Linked DNA regions of Saccharomyces cerevisiae S288C. The protein of the gene in region 1 binds, or shares a complex with, the protein of each later gene. Each region holds a gene or a part of one and is shown on either strand. Other genes may lie near its edges. A codon is read from its position in the direction of its gene.

Evidence for each region.
Region 2: the proteins of SEC17 (region 1) and SEC9 are in contact, whole or in part, in a cryo-EM structure (PDB 9CRU), measured with the Saccharomyces cerevisiae proteins. Residues at the interface, in NP_009503.1 of Saccharomyces cerevisiae: Arg114 (codon at 1,116), Gln152 (codon at 1,002), Ser153 (codon at 999), Val154 (codon at 996), Ala155 (codon at 993), Leu156 (codon at 990), Lys159 (codon at 981), Arg192 (codon at 882), Leu193 (codon at 879), Trp196 (codon at 870), Arg236 (codon at 750), Phe266 (codon at 660), Arg268 (codon at 654); in NP_011523.3 of Saccharomyces cerevisiae: Lys449 (codon at 2,943), Gln452 (codon at 2,952), Asp453 (codon at 2,955), Glu455 (codon at 2,961), Met459 (codon at 2,973), Leu462 (codon at 2,982), Gly463 (codon at 2,985), Met464 (codon at 2,988), Gly466 (codon at 2,994), His467 (codon at 2,997), Glu470 (codon at 3,006), Asn474 (codon at 3,018), Asn478 (codon at 3,030), Gln600 (codon at 3,396), Gln603 (codon at 3,405), Arg607 (codon at 3,417), Met611 (codon at 3,429), Thr614 (codon at 3,438).

Annotation. Positions count from the first base shown.
Region 1 is NC_001134.8:115,438-126,695, reverse strand, and holds SEC17 (alpha-soluble NSF attachment protein SEC17), read right to left. Parts: upstream 1,572-11,258; coding exon 1,542-1,571; intron 1,426-1,541; coding exon 577-1,425; downstream 1-576. Other genes in the region: PIN4 (Pin4p), read left to right, coding at 1,937-3,943; SAS3 (histone acetyltransferase), read left to right, coding at 4,822-7,317; TOD6 (Tod6p), read right to left, coding at 7,530-9,107; YBL055C (3'-5'-exodeoxyribonuclease), read left to right, coding at 9,867-11,123. UniProt on the Saccharomyces cerevisiae protein: SNARE complex protein that binds to cis-SNARE complexes on membranes and is required for vesicular transport between the endoplasmic reticulum and the Golgi apparatus and for homotypic vacuole fusion.
Region 2 is NC_001139.9:501,675-512,600, reverse strand, and holds SEC9 (Sec9p), read left to right. Parts: upstream 1-1,598; coding exon 1,599-3,554; downstream 3,555-10,926. Other genes in the region: nicotinamide-nucleotide adenylyltransferase NMA2, read right to left, coding at 1-1,056; STF2 (ATPase-stabilizing factor family protein), read left to right, coding at 4,237-4,491; ECT1 (ethanolamine-phosphate cytidylyltransferase), read right to left, coding at 4,661-5,632; mRNA splicing protein PRP18, read right to left, coding at 5,776-6,531; transcription factor IIF subunit TFG2, read left to right, coding at 6,742-7,944; PEX31 (peroxisome biogenesis protein), read right to left, coding at 8,275-9,663; cullin CUL3, read right to left, coding at 10,235-10,926. UniProt on the Saccharomyces cerevisiae protein: Component of a SNARE complex that may be the effector of SEC4 function in exocytosis.

The DNA.
Region 1 (11,258 bases):
GAACGTATTTATAATATTGGGCTGTAATGTGTTGAGTTTAGTAATAGATAAAGTAGGACAGAGTTCTGTCTTTGTTTATCTATGGGGTTCAGAGTGATAAGGGGCAGGATAAGGAAGTTAAAAAAAAAAAGGTTACGTTATATAACGAAAGAAAAGAAACGAGCGAAGTGCCAACTATAGCCCAATATCAAGAATGCAAGTCAGCAAAGTACAGTAATCGTATGAAGATACGCGATGCGTAATATCCCTCAAGGGCTCCGGATCAGAAAAGCTAAGGGAAGATCCTTACATTACACGGCGTGCGACAGACTCGAACCACAGCTAACTTCTCGTGAAAAGATGGCTTCAACTTCGCTCTTGCAATAACTTTGAAACACACGAACAAAGGTTTATTGCGCTTGATTAACGTTGGAAGTATATGATACTAATACTACTTTGTTCTCTAAGTCATCGCTATATGTTTATCTCGAGGAAAAGGTGCACGGCGGTACACAATTACTTCGCCGTTTCGGGTAAAACAAGTGTTACATTTATAATATATATGTATATATGTATGTGCGCGTAAGTATATGCCGTTCATAACAAATCATCTTCTTGTTGCTGGATGGACTCCTTAATTTTATTCAAAATGGTAATTTTCCATTTATCTAGTCTCATAAAATTGTCAAACTCCTTACAGTGTTCGCTTAGCTGCTCGCTATCACCTTCATTAACAGCATCGATTAAACTTTTCAAGAAATTTGACTCCCTTGAATCCGCAAAATTCGGATCTTCACTTTGACCCTCTTGTAAAGTTCTTGCAGCAGCGACTGCATCAGTAGCAGCTAGCTGACAAAGCCCTTTTTTTAGGAAGTAATCCTTCAAACTCCATTGGCTCAATCTATTGCCCATGCTGCTCTTGATCAACTTCGAATATATATCACTTGCTTCAATATATTGACCGTCAAGAGCCTTTAGATCTGCGCATTTGATAAAACACTTATTCGATAATGCTACCGACTGGTCTTGGGCATACCACTCACCAGCGAGCTCATAGCAATCTATAGCTTTTGCATAGTCATGCAAATCATTTTCTAGAATTTCTCCAAGCTCAAACTTGAAATTAGCACCTCTCCGGAACTGCCCCCTATGAGTAAAAATTTGAATAGCATTTTCTAATGAATCCACGGCGTTCACAGAGTTTCCACCGCTTTTAAAGCATTTATAAGCCTCTACGTAGGTATTTCCTGCTTCGTCTTCATTACCAGCCTTTTTCTGATAGTCAGCAGCTTTCAAAAACGAGTCTCCTGCCAAGTTTAACTCTTTTCTTAGACGGTAAATGGTGGCTGCTTGGACACAAAGATCAGCAGCCTCCTCAAACTTGTATGAATCAGAACCGCTAAACAATTTCATGAAACCCGATGAAGGAACACCCTTCTTCTCAGCCTTAACACAACGGGAAATATCAATTCCCGTATTTCAATGTTAGTAATTTGCCTTCGTAAATTACGGAATCACATAGCTTTCATTTTGTTCCTTTGATATATTTCCCTACTACATACTCTTTTCAATAACTCTACAGGGTCTGACATTTTTAACTTTCAGGTTAATGATGGTGTTCTTACTATATTCTCGAGTCGTACAGAAGTTAGTTCAGATAAACTGCTTCGGTGCTGCCCACTTCTTATCATTACTTCAACTTTACCTTCCCTATACCTGTGTGTCCTTATTAATTCAAGTTAATCCGAGGTAATAGATTAGGGTAACCTTCAATGATGTCACGAAACACGGATGCTGCAACTTTGCGATTTTTTCCTGGAAAAGAATAACAATTAAAGGCAGCCTTTCAGCTGAGATTACCAGCAGGTCTTTGGAGATTAGCGCAAGAAGAAGTGTGATATAGTACTCATAGAGGCAGGCTACAGACTAGGGAAAGCGTGTTCAACAACAATAAGAAATGGAGACCAGTTCTTTTGAGAATGCTCCTCCTGCAGCCATCAATGATGCTCAGGATAATAATATAAATACGGAGACTAATGACCAGGAAACAAATCAGCAATCTATCGAAACTAGAGATGCAATTGACAAAGAAAACGGTGTGCAAACGGAAACTGGTGAGAACTCTGCAAAAAATGCCGAACAAAACGTTTCTTCTACAAATTTGAATAATGCCCCCACCAATGGTGCTTTGGACGATGATGTTATCCCAAATGCTATTGTTATTAAAAACATTCCGTTTGCTATTAAAAAAGAGCAATTGTTAGACATTATTGAAGAAATGGATCTTCCCCTTCCTTATGCCTTCAATTACCACTTTGATAACGGTATTTTCAGAGGACTAGCCTTTGCGAATTTCACCACTCCTGAAGAAACTACTCAAGTGATAACTTCTTTGAATGGAAAGGAAATCAGCGGGAGGAAATTGAAAGTGGAATATAAAAAAATGCTTCCCCAAGCTGAAAGAGAAAGAATCGAGAGGGAGAAGAGAGAGAAAAGAGGACAATTAGAAGAACAACACAGATCGTCATCTAATCTTTCTTTGGATTCTTTATCTAAAATGAGTGGAAGCGGAAACAATAATACTTCTAACAATCAATTATTCTCGACTCTAATGAACGGCATTAATGCTAATAGCATGATGAACAGTCCAATGAATAATACCATTAACAATAACAGTTCTAATAACAACAATAGTGGTAACATCATTCTGAACCAACCTTCACTTTCTGCCCAACATACTTCTTCATCGTTGTACCAAACAAACGTTAATAATCAAGCCCAGATGTCCACTGAGAGATTTTATGCGCCTTTACCATCAACTTCCACTTTGCCTCTCCCACCCCAACAACTGGACTTCAATGACCCTGACACTTTGGAAATTTATTCCCAATTATTGTTATTTAAGGATAGAGAAAAGTATTATTACGAGTTGGCTTATCCCATGGGTATATCCGCTTCCCACAAGAGAATTATCAATGTTTTGTGCTCGTACTTAGGGCTAGTAGAAGTATATGATCCAAGATTTATTATTATCAGAAGAAAGATTCTGGATCATGCTAATTTACAATCTCATTTGCAACAACAAGGTCAAATGACATCTGCTCATCCTTTGCAGCCAAACTCCACTGGCGGCTCCATGAATAGGTCACAATCTTATACAAGTTTGTTACAGGCCCATGCAGCAGCTGCAGCGAATAGTATTAGCAATCAGGCCGTTAACAATTCTTCCAACAGCAATACTATTAACAGTAATAACGGTAACGGTAACAATGTCATCATTAATAACAATAGCGCCAGCTCAACACCAAAAATTTCTTCACAGGGACAATTCTCCATGCAACCAACACTAACCTCACCTAAAATGAACATACACCATAGTTCTCAATACAATTCCGCAGACCAACCGCAACAACCTCAACCACAAACACAGCAAAATGTTCAGTCAGCTGCGCAACAACAACAATCTTTTTTAAGACAACAAGCTACTTTAACACCATCCTCAAGAATTCCATCCGGTTATTCTGCCAACCATTATCAAATCAATTCCGTTAATCCCTTACTGAGAAATTCTCAAATTTCACCTCCAAATTCACAAATCCCAATCAACAGCCAAACCCTATCCCAAGCGCAACCACCAGCACAGTCCCAAACTCAACAACGGGTACCAGTGGCATACCAAAATGCTTCATTGTCTTCCCAGCAGTTGTACAACCTTAACGGCCCATCTTCAGCAAACTCACAGTCCCAACTGCTTCCACAGCACACAAATGGCTCAGTACATTCTAATTTCTCATATCAGTCTTATCACGATGAGTCCATGTTGTCCGCACACAATTTGAATAGTGCCGACTTGATCTATAAATCTTTGAGTCACTCTGGACTAGATGATGGCTTGGAACAGGGCTTGAATCGTTCTTTAAGCGGACTGGATTTACAAAACCAAAACAAGAAGAATCTATGGTAATATATACTTCCATTATTCTATGATTATAGAGTTTGTTTGGTATTTGTATATCGCACGATACAAGTAATGAGGGGTGCTTACACAAGATAAAAGATAAAAAAATATATATATATAATAAAAACCATCAAAAACACCATTGAAAAAAAATATAAAAAAAAAAAAAAATAACCGAATATGAATATGAAATTAATGATCATGATGAAGTTAATTTTTACTGAGAAACGTCACCTAATGTCGATGAAACGATGATAATGAATGAATGATGAGGCTACTTTAAGTAACGCAATGTAATCAAGCCAAAATTATCCCTCTTTTTTTTTTTTCCCTCTTTTGAGATTTTATTTTTAACCTACTACTTACTTTTTTTTTTTGAACGTTCTTTTCCCACATACTTTTATATATGGTATTTATATGTACGATGTTTAATCACAGAGATGTTTCTACCTTACTCGATATTGTTTTTGCATTAATTGATATCTTGCTCACTGCATCATTGGCGGTATTTGTAGTATATAGAAAGTCGGGTAACAATAATTTATTGACATTTCTTTGTTTACAATGATCAGAGAAGAGCAGAAAGTTTCATAGTCAAACGTTCAGGCCAATTGAACAAGAAATTATTCGTTTTTTTAGTCGTTGAGTGTTCAACTGACATGCTATTTTGGTGGTTCTTGATTAATTGGGGGCTTCATTGTTTGAAATAAAGAGTCGGGAAAATAGCACAGAAACAAAGCATATTAAAAGAGGCAAAAGAAGAAAGAACGAATATAAAAGGTAAAAAAGGAAAAGCATTGCTATTCTTTTCTCATAGGTGTTATTCATACCGCCCTCTCTCTTCTTCCTTCTTCATTAATTAGTCTCCGTATAATTTGCAGATAATGTCATTAACAGCAAACGACGAATCGCCAAAACCCAAAAAAAATGCATTATTGAAAAACTTAGAGATCGATGATCTGATACATTCTCAATTTGTCAGAAGCGATACAAATGGACATAGAACTACAAGACGACTATTCAACTCCGATGCCAGTATATCACATCGAATAAGAGGAAGTGTTCGGTCTGATAAAGGCCTTAATAAAATAAAAAAAGGGTTGATTTCCCAGCAGTCCAAACTTGCGTCAGAAAATTCTTCTCAAAATATCGTTAATAGGGACAATAAGATGGGAGCAGTAAGTTTCCCCATTATTGAACCTAATATTGAAGTCAGCGAGGAGTTGAAGGTTAGAATTAAGTATGATTCTATCAAATTTTTCAATTTTGAAAGACTAATATCTAAATCTTCAGTCATAGCACCTTTAGTTAACAAAAATATAACATCATCCGGTCCTCTAATCGGGTTTCAAAGAAGAGTTAACAGGTTAAAGCAAACATGGGATCTAGCAACCGAAAACATGGAGTACCCATATTCTTCTGATAATACGCCATTCAGGGATAACGATTCTTGGCAATGGTACGTACCATACGGCGGAACAATAAAAAAAATGAAAGATTTCAGTACAAAAAGAACTTTACCCACCTGGGAAGATAAAATAAAGTTTCTTACATTTTTAGAAAACTCTAAGTCTGCAACGTACATTAATGGTAACGTATCACTTTGCAATCATAATGAAACCGATCAAGAAAACGAAGATAGGAAAAAAAGGAAAGGGAAAGTACCAAGAATCAAAAATAAAGTGTGGTTTTCCCAGATAGAATACATTGTTCTTCGAAATTATGAAATTAAACCTTGGTATACATCTCCTTTTCCGGAACACATCAACCAAAATAAAATGGTTTTTATATGTGAGTTCTGCCTAAAATATATGACTTCTCGATATACTTTTTATAGACACCAACTAAAGTGTCTAACTTTTAAGCCCCCCGGAAATGAAATTTATCGCGACGGTAAGCTGTCTGTTTGGGAAATTGATGGGCGGGAGAATGTCTTGTATTGTCAAAATCTTTGCCTGTTGGCAAAATGTTTTATCAATTCTAAGACTTTGTATTACGATGTTGAACCGTTTATATTCTATATTCTAACGGAGAGAGAGGATACAGAGAACCATCCCTATCAAAACGCAGCCAAATTCCATTTCGTAGGCTATTTCTCCAAGGAAAAATTCAACTCCAATGACTATAACCTAAGTTGTATTTTAACTCTACCCATATACCAGAGGAAAGGATATGGTCAGTTTTTGATGGAATTTTCATATTTATTATCCAGAAAGGAGTCAAAATTTGGAACTCCTGAAAAACCATTGTCGGATTTAGGATTATTGACTTACAGAACGTTTTGGAAGATAAAATGTGCTGAAGTGCTATTAAAATTAAGAGACAGTGCTAGACGTCGATCAAATAATAAAAATGAAGATACTTTTCAGCAGGTTAGCCTAAACGATATCGCTAAACTAACAGGAATGATACCAACAGACGTTGTGTTTGGATTGGAACAACTTCAAGTTTTGTATCGCCATAAAACACGCTCATTATCCAGTTTGGATGATTTCAACTATATTATTAAAATCGATTCTTGGAACAGGATTGAAAATATTTACAAAACTTGGAGCTCAAAAAACTATCCTCGCGTCAAATATGACAAACTATTGTGGGAACCTATTATATTAGGGCCGTCATTTGGTATAAATGGGATGATGAACTTAGAACCCACCGCATTAGCGGACGAAGCTCTTACAAATGAAACTATGGCTCCGGTAATTTCGAATAACACACATATAGAAAACTATAACAACAGTAGAGCACATAATAAACGCAGAAGAAGAAGAAGAAGAAGTAGTGAGCACAAAACATCCAAGCTTCATGTAAACAATATCATAGAACCGGAAGTACCTGCTACTGATTTTTTTGAAGACACTGTTTCCTCCTTAACAGAGTATATGTGTGATTATAAGAACACAAATAATGATAGATTAATCTATCAAGCGGAAAAAAGAGTGCTGGAAAGCATCCATGATCGCAAAGGGATACCAAGATCAAAATTTAGTACAGAAACTCATTGGGAGCTCTGCTTCACTATTAAAAACTCCGAAACACCACTTGGAAATCATGCAGCTAGGAGAAACGATACTGGAATATCAAGTTTAGAGCAGGATGAAGTAGAAAACGATGTAGATACTGAATTATATGTAGGTGAAAACGCCAAAGAAGATGAAGACGAAGACGAAGACTTTACCCTTGATGATGACATTGAGGATGAGCAAATATCAGAAGAAAATGATGAGGAGGAAGACACATATGAAGAAGACAGTGATGATGATGAGGATGGGAAGAGAAAAGGACAAGAGCAGGATGAAAACGATATAGAAAGCCACATAAGGAAGGAGAGAGTCAGAAAAAGAAGAAAAATAACTCTAATAGAGGATGACGAAGAATAAGCGGCGATGGGTATATATTGGATATAAGCATATACATGTAACATTATTAATAGCAATAAGAACCCTTGTAGTCAATAGTATTACAGAATTCTCCTACGAATAAATTTTATGTGTATATATAAAGATATATATGTGTGTGTGTACATGTGTGGGTGCGATTAATTTGTACTCATTAAACGAATAGTCAAAACAAACTAAATTCGTCTCTTAGCTTAAAATATATTTTTAAAGATAGAATTTATACCTGGAAGTTCATCTTGCTCATTGCGTATGTCATTTGCGCTGGTCATAGAAGAAAGCTCACTAGACTTTGGATTATCATGTTTAGCCTCTAACATACCGTAATTTTGCGATTGCTGCGATGGCGTGTTAATGCCATTCTCCTTGTGCAGTGGGTCAATGTCATCCTCCTCCTCCTCGTCTTTGCATCCTTCATTTGTATGAAAACCACTTACACGTCCTTTTCTCTTTAAATAATCCATTCTTTGTTGGATTTCCAACTCGGATCTATTATTAGGCAGAACAATAGAAATTTCTAGCGGCGACAAATGGTTTTGTTTGTCCTTCGTATTGTTAAGTAGCACTTCATCATCTTCTCTAGACCACGGGTGTTTATTAGCGAATTTTTGCATATCTAAGAAAGTCCTCGTGTGCGTGATTTTGTCATTTGCGTGGTCTGTCTTGCAGTTGGGAGACGCTATGGGGTTAAGATAGTATTGGTGCTGTGGATGATAATGAACGGATTGCGATGTAGATAACCTTCTGGGTGACATATACGGGCTAACTACCAAGGAAGCTCTTCTAGAAATAGGCTCCGTAGGAGCGTGAGAGTTGAAGGATGATCTTCTTGAATGCATCATGTTAAAAGATGATCTTCTAGAAGAAATTACGGAATGCGAGTTTTTCCTAGTCTTCGTCGTTGAATGAGGGATTTGAGTTGAAGGAATAAAGGAGTTCCTTCTAGACCTGATAATAATTTTAGGCACAAGACCAATATTCTCATAATCATTGGAATTAACAGCTTTATTTGTCTTTGCTGAAGTAGTGTTATAAAGGCTTAGATTTGTCTGCTGAGCAGTCTTTACATTAGGCGTGTTGGTTGTTATAGAATGAGAGAAGGACCTTGGCTTAACAAACAGTTTCCTTGGTTTCGTGTGTTGTGGCTCATGGTCCGAAAATGTTGATGTAGATCTTTGAGTTATCAGTTTTCTGTCCATGTATTTAGGCTTAACTAATGGCTTGAAATCCGGTGGAGAATCCTCGATAGCACTAGAACCTGCAGTAATATCTTCATCCTCAACAGCTTCCTCTTTTACGGCTTCTTCCGCAGACGGAGTACCCGCGGATGGGGTAGCATCACCAGTCGCATACACGCCGAATAGCTTATTGATGTCAATAACTGCGGTCTTGTTAGACTTTAAGTTGCCTGATTTCAGTCTCCTCCATCTGAATTGACAAGCGTTAGGAGTTCTATTTGGGAAATGATGTGCAATCTCCTTCCAGCCCAAGTTCTTGATCTCTTTCAGGTGGCGGAGCTTGATATCATCACTAGGGTCCCAAGAAGAGGGGTTGTTTTTTTTGAGTGATTCCGCCTCCTCCTTGTTCGTGCTGTTCTCTTTAGTGCTAGTGCTACTGATAGGCAGGTGGCTCTTCGCATTTGTGTGAGAAAGTGAGTGGGAATGGACAAGATTATTTGGGTGAGGGTGTTTGCTTAGTATTGAGAAACCATGTGAGTTGGCACTAACATGTCCTGATGAAACAGAAACGCTACTGAGTTTCGGCAACGTCATCGCGAGGGAACTTCAATAAGAACAGTGATATATTCTTTTCTCTACCCACTGTCGTGTATATGCCTTCTTGAGTGAGTAGTTTTAATGACTCAAGCAGTGGAGATTTGCCAGATTTGTTTACCTGAAAACAAAATGATATGAAAAGCCTTTATTAATATCAACGTACAAAAACTATACACGACTTCTGTGTAAGGAAGTAGAAAAGTGTCTCATCGCATTGGTCTCGCATCTCATCGCATCGCATCTCATCTCAATTTTCAAATTTCAGCTCTCAGCAGAGAAAAAATTTTTTTTTCACCGGACCAAAAATAGCCTCTCTCACCCACAGATAACGTCGCACACTAACAAGATGATGAGACAAGATAGGCCAAACCGCTCAAAAAGGAACTCGAAGAAGAACGGAAGTGGAGTTTAACTTTAGAACCTAACTGCTACTAAGTGTTGATACGCTAGGCAAGACACCTGCGAAATCCCGCTGCGAAATACCTGCAAAGAGGTTGCTAAACAGCAGCCAGAAGACTTGCGCTAGTAACGTTCCTGAAAAGCTTTGCACTGCAGGCATTTCTGAGCCTTTTCCGGCCTTCTAGAAGGCTTAGCCCCTACTAACGCCGGGTTACTTAGAACAGCACTCTTCTAAGAACAATCTTTCCAGCATGCTGGAAGGGCCCAGTGGTGATGTCCTGGTAGCAATGGACAACTAAAGGTGGACACTTTCGCTGCCAAGGCATTTTTTTGAGGCGCCAGTACTGTTATAGTTATATGTGGGGCATCTTATTGAAATCCTCGAACAAAAGTTGTTCTAGGCTCTGGAAACCAATTTTGACACAATATTATAGCATGACATCAACTGCCACGGATTCTCCGCTGAAATACTATGATATTGGATTGAATCTGACAGATCCTATGTTTCACGGTATTTACAATGGTAAGCAGTACCATCCAGCAGATTATGTAAAATTATTAGAGCGTGCTGCTCAGAGGCACGTGAAAAATGCCCTTGTTACAGGATCATCCATAGCGGAGTCTCAAAGTGCCATTGAGTTGGTAAGCAGCGTCAAAGATCTTAGCCCGTTAAAGCTGTATCACACAATAGGTGTTCACCCATGTTGCGTTAACGAGTTTGCGGATGCTAGTCAAGGGGACAAGGCTAGCGCTTCTATTGATAACCCTTCCATGGATGAAGCATATAATGAGTCTCTATATGCTAAAGTTATTAGTAATCCATCTTTTGCACAGGGTAAACTGAAAGAGCTTTATGATTTGATGAATCAGCAAGCAAAACCTCATGATACAAGTTTCAGGTCAATTGGTGAGATCGGGTTGGACTACGACAGATTTCACTATAGTTCTAAAGAGATGCAAAAGGTTTTTTTTGAAGAGCAACTGAAAATAAGTTGTTTGAACGATAAACTCAGCAGCTATCCATTGTTTCTGCATATGAGAAGCGCATGTGACGATTTTGTTCAAATATTGGAAAGATTTATTGCCGGGTTCACTGATGAGAGGGATACCTTTCAGCTACAAAAGTTAGGTGCATCGTCGTCTAGCGGGTTTTACAAATTTCATCCAGATAGAAAACTAGTGGTCCATTCATTCACTGGTTCTGCGATAGATTTGCAGAAATTACTGAACTTATCACCCAACATCTTCATAGGAGTAAACGGTTGCTCGTTGAGAACCGAGGAAAATCTAGCTGTTGTAAAGCAAATACCAACAGAAAGGTTGTTATTAGAGACAGATGCTCCGTGGTGTGAGATTAAAAGAACGCATGCATCTTTCCAGTACTTAGCCAAATACCAGGAGGTTAGGGATTTCGAATACCCTGCATTCAAGTCCGTTAAGAAAAATAAGCTCGCTGACAAGTTGAATGCAGAAGAACTTTACATGGTCAAGGGCCGTAATGAGCCTTGTAATATGGAACAAGTAGCAATTGTCGTATCGGAAGTCAAGGACGTGGATCTGGCTACTTTGATAGATACCACGTGGAAGACGACCTGTAAGATATTTGGAGAGTAACATCTATTGGTGCAAAGAGCAAAGTTACATTATTTTTAGTAAGTACACTAATTATGCTTAAACTATTAATAGGAAAATTATGGTGCGCATATACATACAGTCGATATTGCTTTCATTTTTTTTTTTTTTTTTTTT
Region 2 (10,926 bases), on another chromosome or scaffold:
CACTTTCGTAGAGGAAATATCATTGTAAATAAGTTGTTTGATAATAAGGATATTTCTTCTGTGTTCATACATGATATCATGGGAAAGCAAGAAGGACCTAACATCAGAACCAGTCCTTTCCACGATCAAACATCCATAATTACCCAAAATATGGTGCAGGTCTGAATCAGCCCACACATGAGGCTCGCCCATGGATTCGATAAGATCACCGCCTGCCAATAACATGATTTTTACGCCCATTTTTTCACCATCTACAGTCATGATTCCACCTCTCTTGATATTTATTTCATGATTGAAATGGTCCAAGACTTTTGCTGTCCTTGTATAACTTGATTGTAAAGATTCCCAGGCATCAACCATTAACCAAGATGATGTCCGCTCGCATGCTAATTCGCACATGCGGACACGATGATAAGCTGGGGCTAACCCTCGCTTTTGATAGTTATCACTTACTGGAGAAAAATAACCACCAACCACTTCAAAACGCGTTTGCTCATTGATATCATCTAAAGCCATTTCAAACATTCTCAAATGTAGGTATGTTATGGGAGAAAATGATCCACAAGCAACGATGATCAGAGGCAGTTTTTCAGGATCTTGTAACTTTTTCGTCAATCTGTGTACAGGAAATTCGTAATCTTCAATAGTTCTGGCTTGTCTTACAATTGTGTGAGGAACTTCTTCCAAATCAGCAATTTGGCTCTTCAGTACCCCCAAATTCCCAGTCATCGTAACATCCTGTAGAGTAGCGTCAATTCCATTCGATTGCCCTTCACTTTCCTCCTCCGATGATACATCCCGAGATAGTGGCTGGAAGTCACTAGTATTTAATGGAATATGGTCCATTCGGTTGCTTGAGTTGGCGTTTTTTTTCCTTGACGACAGGGTTTTGTAAATGTCGAGATTGAAAGGAGCATCGATCGAAGAATTATAATCAGCTAAAACATATGGAACTATGGGTCCAGATTTTGGTATCGTATGTGTTGGATCTGGCGGTGGTTGTAGTTCTTCATTTGGCTGTGGCGGTTTAAAATCGGGTGCTTTGGTGGGATCCATTACGTAATAAGTGCACTTTTTCTTGCCTTCTCCACTTTAAACTCTCTCTCTCTCTCTACTTAACAGTGGAGGAACAGTGACTAAGGTAGAGTATGATTGTACTATAACTTACAGTCTACTGTCGTCACGCTGGGTCAATTTACATTGTTATTTTTCTTGGAGACGACACCGTCACATATGGACAGCGAGTATGGTAGATGGTATAAGCAAAAAATGGCCAGAAACAGGCGATTATTTGGTAAAACGTAAAGATTGATCAAGACGATAAGTTTGAGAGATTGTGAAGCTAAATAAAATCGTATTGCGAGTATTTTACATTCCATATACGAATAGTACGATATCCATGTGGGGTGCGACTCAGAGACTTTCTATTACCCGTCTTTCAAAAAGAAATGAGATACGTTGATCCTGCTTTTAACAATTTCGAATCGTTTGCGTAATTATATGACTTGCTCCGGTGTATAAATAAATAAAGTACATTCTTGGTACTCCTGAACCTAGCCTGGAGTAACTCGGAATAATACACCATTGACACCAAAAGAATGGGATTAAAGAAATTTTTTAAGATTAAGCCTCCAGAGGAAGCGACACCAGAACAGAACAAGGATACTTTGATGGAACTGGGTATTAGTGTCAAAAACCCTAGCAAGAAAAGAAAAGAGAAATTTGCCGCCTACGGTAAATTTGCAAATGATAAAGCTGAAGATAAGGTATACGCGCCACCAGGTTATGAGCAGTATGCTAGGCCACAGGATGAACTTGAGGATTTGAATGCTTCTCCCTTAGATGCCAATGCTAACGAGGCAACTGCTGGTTCTAATAGAGGTTCAAGTGGCACGCAAGATCTCGGAAATGGAGCAGAATCCAATTCTATGCAAGATCCGTACGCTATCGAAAATGATGATTACCGATATGATGACGATCCTTATGCAAGGTTTCAAGCTAATAAAAGTAATGGGAGAGGTAGCGTCAATGCTGCGCCTTATGGTGATTATGGAGGGGGGTACAATGGCACATCTCTGAATTCATATAATAACGATGGCCCGTATAGTAACCAAAATACTTCAAACAGCTGGGTGAATGCGAATGGCCGTAATAGTTTAAATCATTCAAACAGCACTTTAAACGTAGGGCCTTCGAGGCAAACAAGGCAACCGCCGGTTTCAACGTCGACCAACAGCTTATCGCTTGACCAAAGAAGTCCCTTAGCAAACCCGATGCAAGAAAAGAGAAATCCTTACGCTGATATGAATAGTTATGGCGGGGCGTATGACTCCAATACTAATAGATCTAGCGGTACTCGACAAGGAAGCTCCAAGAATGCAAATCCATACGCCTCTATGGCGAACGACTCATATAGTAATGGAAATTTGAACAGGTCTGCAAATCCATATTCTAGTAGAAGTGTGCGTCAACCGCAATCGCAACAAGCTCCAATGACTTATACGCCCTCTTTTATTGCTTCTGATGAAGCAGCACGCAATAGTGAAGTTGATTTAAATGAAGAACCTAGAACAGGTGAATTTGATTTTGAAGAAGTTTATGCTGACAAGTCTGCAGAAAATAGAGCGGCATTAGATGAGCCTGATTTGAATGCAGTAATGACGAATGAAGATTCAATAGATTTAAATGCGTCCGAAGTTGATCATAGTTCAAGACAGCAGCAGCAGCAACAGTGGTTCATGGATGAGCAGCAACAGCAACAGCAACACTTTAACGCAACAAATAACCAATATGGAGATCAAAGGGGTTACAAAACATTTGAAGAAATACAAAAAGAAGAGGAGGCTCGCCAGCAGCAGGAAGAAGATGAAGCAGTAGATGAAATCAAGCAGGAGATCAAATTTACGAAACAGAGTTCCGTAGCCTCTACTAGAAATACACTAAAAATGGCTCAAGACGCCGAAAGAGCAGGTATGAACACATTGGGTATGCTGGGTCATCAAAGTGAACAATTGAATAACGTAGAAGGAAACTTAGATTTAATGAAGGTGCAAAATAAAGTTGCAGATGAAAAAGTTGCAGAACTAAAAAAATTGAACCGTAGTATATTGGCTGTCCATGTTTCTAATCCGTTTAATTCCAAGAGAAGGAGAAGGGAGAGGGAAGAGCAGCTGAAGAATAGGAAAATTGAAGAAAAATTAATGAGAGAGCAAACAAGTCAACAATTGTCTCAGTCCACTCAAAGAATAGAGGGTGCTATGAACGCAAATAATAACATAAGTGAGGTGCGGGAAAGATATCAGAGGAAGAATGTTCTAGAAAAGGCAAAGAGATATCAGTTTGAGAATGATGAAGAAGATGACGAAATGGAATTGGAAATTGATAGGAATTTGGACCAGATTCAGCAGGTTAGCAACAGATTGAAGAAAATGGCCTTGACCACTGGTAAAGAATTAGACTCTCAGCAAAAACGTCTCAACAACATTGAGGAAAGCACTGATGATCTAGATATCAATCTCCATATGAATACCAACAGGTTGGCAGGTATCAGATAGAATATGCCTGTAAAAACTATGTAATATATCACAAGTAACAACATTTCATCACCATTACTACCATTATGTAGAAATTTATGAGCAAAGACAAATAAGTAAAGAAAAAGACATTGATATAATATAAGAGTATGCTTTCTTCATTTTAATGTTTGGTTGTGAATTGAAAGAATACCATTCGGGCACGCAATAGTTATGAACTTAACCGAGCTCAAATAATTTAAAGATAAAAGATAAAAGATAAAAGATAAAAGACAAAAGAAAATTCATAGCCCATGTTGAAGTATCCCAGCGGGAAATGTTGCTATCCAACAGAAAGTACCAAGCCAGTTTCAAAAAGGTACAGAATTAAGTGATGCTATCCGTCCCACAACTAATTTTCTCCAGCGGAGGAAATATACGCGGAGGGGGGGAGGAAAACCTCTCAGTAAGCAATGAAGGGATAGATAATGGGGGCGCGCCTGCCTAGCTTAGGCTAAGAAACTCCTTCGAAAACAGGGGGCTGCGAGCGCAGAAGCGAACACTTGTCATTTGTATAAAAGGACTATTTATAAGTTTGCTTTTTGTCACTCTCTTGGCCCTAATTACCCATACTATTGTAACAATTGTTGTGTAAACTCAATTATACAAATAAACGAACAATCAACAGTAACAAACCGCTCAAGTGTACAACCAATCAGAAAAAATGACGAGAACAAACAAGTGGACCGAACGTGAAGGAAAGGCTGATCCAAAGTACTTTTCGCACACTGGTAACTACGGTGAATCTCCAAATCACATCAAGAAGCAAGGTTCCGGCAAGGGTAATTGGGGTAAGCCAGGCGATGAGATTGATGACTTAATTGATAATGGTGAAATACCCCCAGTGTTCAAGAAAGATAGAAGAGGCTCAAATTTGCAATCGCATGAACAAAAGTTTGAAAACGTCCAAAAGGAATGAGGGCGTTTTCAAGATAAAAAAAGGTTTTTTGATCTCTGAAGGATAGTGGCCTTCTCCACTGATTTATATGCATCTATAGGTATATACTTGCATGCCTACTTCATGACTTATGTAATACAGTTTTCTTACATCCATTTAATTTACGTTCGAAGAAGTTTTCAACATTTGTTTATATGGACATTCCCTTTTTTTGGTTCCTCGCAATGTAAACCTCCCTTTGCGATTCCACCCTCTTCACAATAAGCTCTTTAGTCAAGTATTCACTGAATTTTCCGGCAGCAGTGAGGACAGCCGTGCCAATATGATACTTCTCGCAGTTATACTGAGACATTGAGGTGGCGTCAGCATCGATAATAACGGCATCAACATATTTACAACTTAAAACGCTCAAGACGCGTTCCTTCATCGTCATAATGGTACTCGAGTAATCGCTTGTGGTAATACCAACAATCAATTTCTTATCGGGGTGAAGATCCATTTTCAGCTTTCTTAACTGATCAATATCCCCCATATGGAATAAGTCAAAATCCCCGTCAACATAAACACAATCTTCTGCATCGAATTTGTATCCACCATTGACCAAGACATTGTCCAAATCCCTCTGAAAGACATAACAATGTTTTGAAACGGCATCTTGGGCGACAGAATAGAAACTCAATTCCTGGGTGGTGGGATAATAATCAGGATGAGTCGGTGGCAAAGATTTTTTCGTCAATATTCTATGTATAATCTCGGTAGTACTTACGCCATATGTTCTTTTAACTACCTTGAAGCGCCCCATCTCTTTCACCAACTTATAGCAGTCTTCTCCATTAGCATCTATGGTGATATCATCACCATGAACAACATATTGGCACTGATATTTATCCATCCAATTGGGATCTGTAACATATGGCGCCGCTTCAACCACTTCCGAACACCACCTATTTGATCTAGTATGCTCATATCTTTCTGAAGAGTTCATTACTGGTGTTCCTTTGTTATGCTGAATATCTTCATCGGTATGCACACCACAGAATAGTTTACCATTTTCTTTTGAAACTGTTCGACGAGCCTGCAAAATGGCTCCCGCATGCCCATGATGTGTGAAATCAAAGCAGCCGTCTATCCAAACTTTATCCGGATCTAAGTTTACCGTCATCCAGTCAGTATATTTCAAGTCCCGATCCTGTAAAGCATTTGTCTCTGGAAAATTGAACAAAGGCTATCAACATCTGCATTCTTGCTTCTTATTTTGGCCGCATGATATCGTGCCACGCGATAACGAAAACAATAGTTCAACAATTAGGCTAAGCTATCGTGGTTGCTGGTATACCATTCTTCAAAAGTTATTAATCTTTTAATACTGGTAATCCATAATCGCGTTCTTTCATCAATCATTATGTTAGCAGCATTCCGGCCTCCTTGAATTTTCGAATGTGCACTACGAGCATGAATGCCTACGCTAGTAACACCAATAGGCCAGGCCACATTGCCGATACTGAGTTTCATATAGGACTGAACGGCTAAATTTATTTCTTTAGGTTGTTGTAAATGATAGAGAACGGTCGCAAGGGAAATAAGTAAATCCGGGGCAAGCTGGTTCCTTCGTAGTTGCAGTAGGAGTGGAAAGAGTGCTTTTTTAGTGTCTAAGAACAGCTCCGGATGATAAGCTTCCAAAGACGCCTTCCAACGAGATAATATTTCGTGAATATATAAATTACATTTCATTGACAAAAGAGGTTTTCCTTCAGTAGAACCAATTTGTGATGGATCAATGATTACAGAGATGGTTTTGTCTTGAGCTATCGCTTCTTGTATCCTTTCTGGCCGATTTTCTAATTTGCTAATGGTGGTCCTAATATCGTCACTCTGATTGTCTGACAGGTTTTCTTCATCTGTACTTTCTTGTTCTACCTGTCGCGGTGTTTCGTCTATGTTTGCGGATTCATGTGGCTGGAATTTCTCAGTGCATGGTGGCTGAACACCTTTAGAGTTGGCCAGCTCTTTCTTCTTCTTAGAAATTTCACCTTTTAAGATACTGGCTAGATCTAGGTCCATTTTATGCTCTTATTACTTGTAGAGGAAAAAACATTGAAGTTCTTTCCATTGGGGCCCTTTCCAAAGGTCGATTCTCTTCTTAACTTTTTCATCTTCCCTTGCGCGAAATGAATAAATTATCAGGCTTGAAATTAGAAGAATAAGACATATGCTGTTGGCTTCAACGCATAACGCAATATTAAGAGTAAAATAGAAGACCAACTTAACACCATGAGCAGTGGTTCAGCAGGGGCACCAGCACTTTCTAATAATTCCACGAACTCTGTCGCGAAGGAGAAATCAGGTAACATTTCCGGTGATGAGTATCTTTCGCAAGAGGAGGAAGTTTTTGACGGTAATGATATTGAGAATAATGAAACCAAAGTTTATGAAGAATCCTTAGATTTGGACTTGGAACGTAGTAATAGACAAGTCTGGTTAGTTAGATTGCCCATGTTTCTAGCAGAGAAATGGAGGGACAGAAACAACTTGCATGGCCAAGAACTGGGTAAAATTAGGATAAACAAGGATGGGAGTAAAATCACACTTCTATTGAATGAAAATGATAACGATTCTATACCGCACGAATATGATTTAGAACTTACAAAGAAAGTAGTAGAAAATGAATATGTTTTCACAGAACAAAATTTAAAGAAATATCAACAACGTAAAAAGGAGTTGGAAGCAGATCCTGAAAAGCAAAGGCAAGCTTACCTGAAGAAGCAAGAACGTGAAGAGGAACTTAAGAAGAAGCAGCAGCAGCAAAAACGTAGAAATAATAGAAAAAAGTTTAATCACAGAGTTATGACAGATAGGGATGGTAGAGATAGATATATACCATATGTGAAGACGATTCCCAAAAAAACCGCCATTGTGGGTACAGTTTGCCACGAATGTCAGGTTATGCCATCAATGAATGATCCTAATTATCACAAGATTGTTGAACAGAGAAGAAATATTGTCAAGCTTAATAATAAGGAAAGGATCACAACTTTGGATGAAACCGTTGGTGTTACGATGAGCCACACAGGTATGTCCATGAGGTCAGACAACTCGAATTTCTTGAAAGTGGGGCGTGAGAAGGCCAAGAGCAATATTAAATCTATTCGTATGCCAAAGAAGGAAATCTTGGATTACTTGTTCAAGTTATTTGATGAGTATGACTACTGGTCCTTGAAGGGGTTGAAGGAACGTACTAGGCAACCTGAAGCACATTTAAAGGAGTGTTTGGATAAAGTTGCCACTCTAGTGAAGAAGGGCCCATATGCATTCAAATACACTTTAAGGCCAGAGTATAAAAAGTTGAAAGAGGAGGAGAGAAAGGCAACCTTAGGTGAACTAGCTGATGAGCAAACAGGTTCCGCTGGAGACAATGCGCAAGGAGACGCGGAGGCTGACTTGGAAGATGAAATAGAAATGGAAGATGTCGTTTAGTTGACAATCAGATTTTCTTCATTAATTTTATATTTACGCAGTTTCTTGAGCCCTATATATACTCTTTTTAAAATTTACAGTTTTGTTTAATTTATTATGTCTCTATTAGTTTTGGCTATCTGTACATATGTATTTAGATGCATTGAAGTTCCGTAAAAGAATGCTTGCTGGAATAAGAGACTGATGGAGAACTTGCCATAACCGCGCAGATACTTTAAAGCACAAGATTGAATTTGTGCTCCATGCAGCCAATGAAAGAAACTCTGAGATTGCTGTGTGCCCTTGCACCGACCAGTGTGAACGTTGTTGTCCATATGGGGCATGCACTCATTATAGAGAAGGAGACATTGAAACATCAGATATTTGTATTAATTTGCTACTGTCCGAGGAAGGTATGATATGCACTTCATTTGCTGTACTAAATGACACTTTTCTTTTTCTAACTCTATTATTTTCTTCACTCTTCAGAGCATGAGAATTCGGTGTAGCTTTTTCTACAGTGGGCTCATCGTCATACGTTGTTGTTACTGTTGCAGTCCTGATCCACCTCCTTCTTCTTGTGTACTTTTTATATGTGTCCGTTGCAGAGGGATTATTCCAGGTGTTATCATAATATATGAAACCTTCATCTGCACCTGGCTTAACTTTTGTCTTAGCAGCAGAAGCAGGAAGTTGAATGATCCCATCATTTGTTAGGTCAAGCATCCAATCTTTATCGTGCCATTCCCAAGCCATTCCCGACTGCTCCTCTGGTAAAGTAAACACTTCTGGGCTTGGAGAAGTATTTAGGAATTCATCTGTCCAAGATGCGCGCTCATAACTCAACATAGTTGATGTCCATCCGATGCCAAGCCAGCGGCGCTGGTTTTCAAACAGAGCAACCTTGAAAAGTACAGTCTTTTTAGTGTTAGATGTGTTCCCTACCTCATTCCAAACAAAGGACCTTATTTTCTTATTGACAGAAGCAAACAAGCGCCTATTATTATCTGGTCCACCAAGGTCTAATCCTGTTATGAAAAATACAAGTAATCTAACAACGCGAAATTTCCACAAGTATCTTCTCATTCTTCGGATTAGTTTAGAATGGTACGTAAGCACATACAGACCCCCTATTAACATTAAATAGTTTGGAGATAGCACAAACACTGTTAGAAAAATATAAACTGGGGATAGGAAGGCAATGGTAAATAACAGTCTTCTAACATCCTGAGCGCTCAAAATCGTAATAGGAGATAACACAGCGCTAGATTTCATAGAAACCCTATCCATAACGTGTATTATATCATCCAATGAAGGGCAAGATGCCATTGTTTCTTGAACGTGCTTGTCAATTAAAAGATATACCCATATTATACCAACGATCATTAAATGTCCAAAATACCTTGTAATAAATCCAAAATATAGAACACAAACCGTAAATAAGAATATTCCAAGCAAGTTTGCAGAGACATTGTCATTGGACCAAGTGATGATACTTAGAAAGTTATCCACAACAATTAAATATGGGTATAACCTCACTAATGACCTGGAGACTGTTTTAGGTGTTGAAGTCAATAAAGGAGATGATAAAATAGCCTCTTGATCTTCCTCATAAGTTTGGGCGCTTAATTTACCTCTTCGTTTTCTTAAAGCGCTACGAATGTGTTTATTCTTGCTTTCTGTAGACTCAGCTACTGTACTTGAGGTTGGCTCTAGATTTTCATTATTTATTTCGCTCATACTATCAAATAAAGGGAAACCAAGGCTTGACAACCAGGGAAGAATACCAAATTTAAAAGTGCCGCTTTATTGATAATAATTTTGGTGAGCTTCTCTTATACCGTAAATTTCAACATATATTTTTCTACCAGGAAAAGTGAAATACGGCCGCTAAGCATCTGAAAAAAAAAAAAGAGCAAGGCGCTGCTATTGATAATAGTTCCTTTGAAGCAGTGCTACGCAGGTCTGAAAGGCTCGTAACTTTAACTTACTTAATGATTAAGAAAGAAATTATTTGACTCAACAAATTCCTAGAAGTTTTTTATAAAAATATAATGAGGCATAATAAACTTCAAGAGATATCGATTACCCACTCCACATTACATTCAAGTTTGACTGGGATATATAGTCTACCATAACTATGTTATTATATATTTTGAAAGTTTCACTAAGGAATGCAGGATGAACATTCAATTAGTATCGACGCATATCCTCTTAATATTGTTCGCTCTGGCAGCCGGATAGGAACTGCCATCTATATATACTGTTGGCATTCTGCAAACCTTATACCTGTGATTTTCATTATAAGCAATTAGGAAAGGTAATGGTAATAAGAGGGGTCATCTGCGTTTCTCTGGATGTATTCTTTCTCTATTAAAAGCTGAATGCTTCGTTTCAAAATGCTCGGTGTAAGACTGAGCCGAGACTGTGTCCGTTTCGTAGTTCTTTCAAGTAATTGCTGATGGCTTAGCTTACCTTCTGTTTTCATGATACGAACAATAATAGCACTAAGCTCCATAACAATTTCATTATCATAAGTGTCCACGGAACTTGCGGTTGCCAAATTATCTGATTTCTGAGATGGTAGAGGGCATGCAATAACCGGCACTTTCACTTTCCTGTTTGGAGAAGAAAAGAAATAATTAACTGAAAATTTCATATTTCCTGAACTGGATGATTTTTTCAAAATCTTACATCTGGGTATTGTCGACATTGACATTACAAGAGACTTAACGTCATCTATGGGAATATGAGTTAGTTCATATATTTCCCCCAACGTTAATTCTTCATAATCTTCAAATAGAAGGAAAATCACTCCAGCGTAAACAGAAAAACTTATTTCGTAGTAACCGCTATTAAATTGGCAGCCAATTTCAATTACACTTAGATGATGAGCCCACTTTAGCACTCTTTCTTTGTATTTTAAGCTGTAATAGCCCTCAAAGCCAGCTAAAATTTGTGACATTCTAGGAGGTAGTGAAATACCTTCATCAATTGGATTAG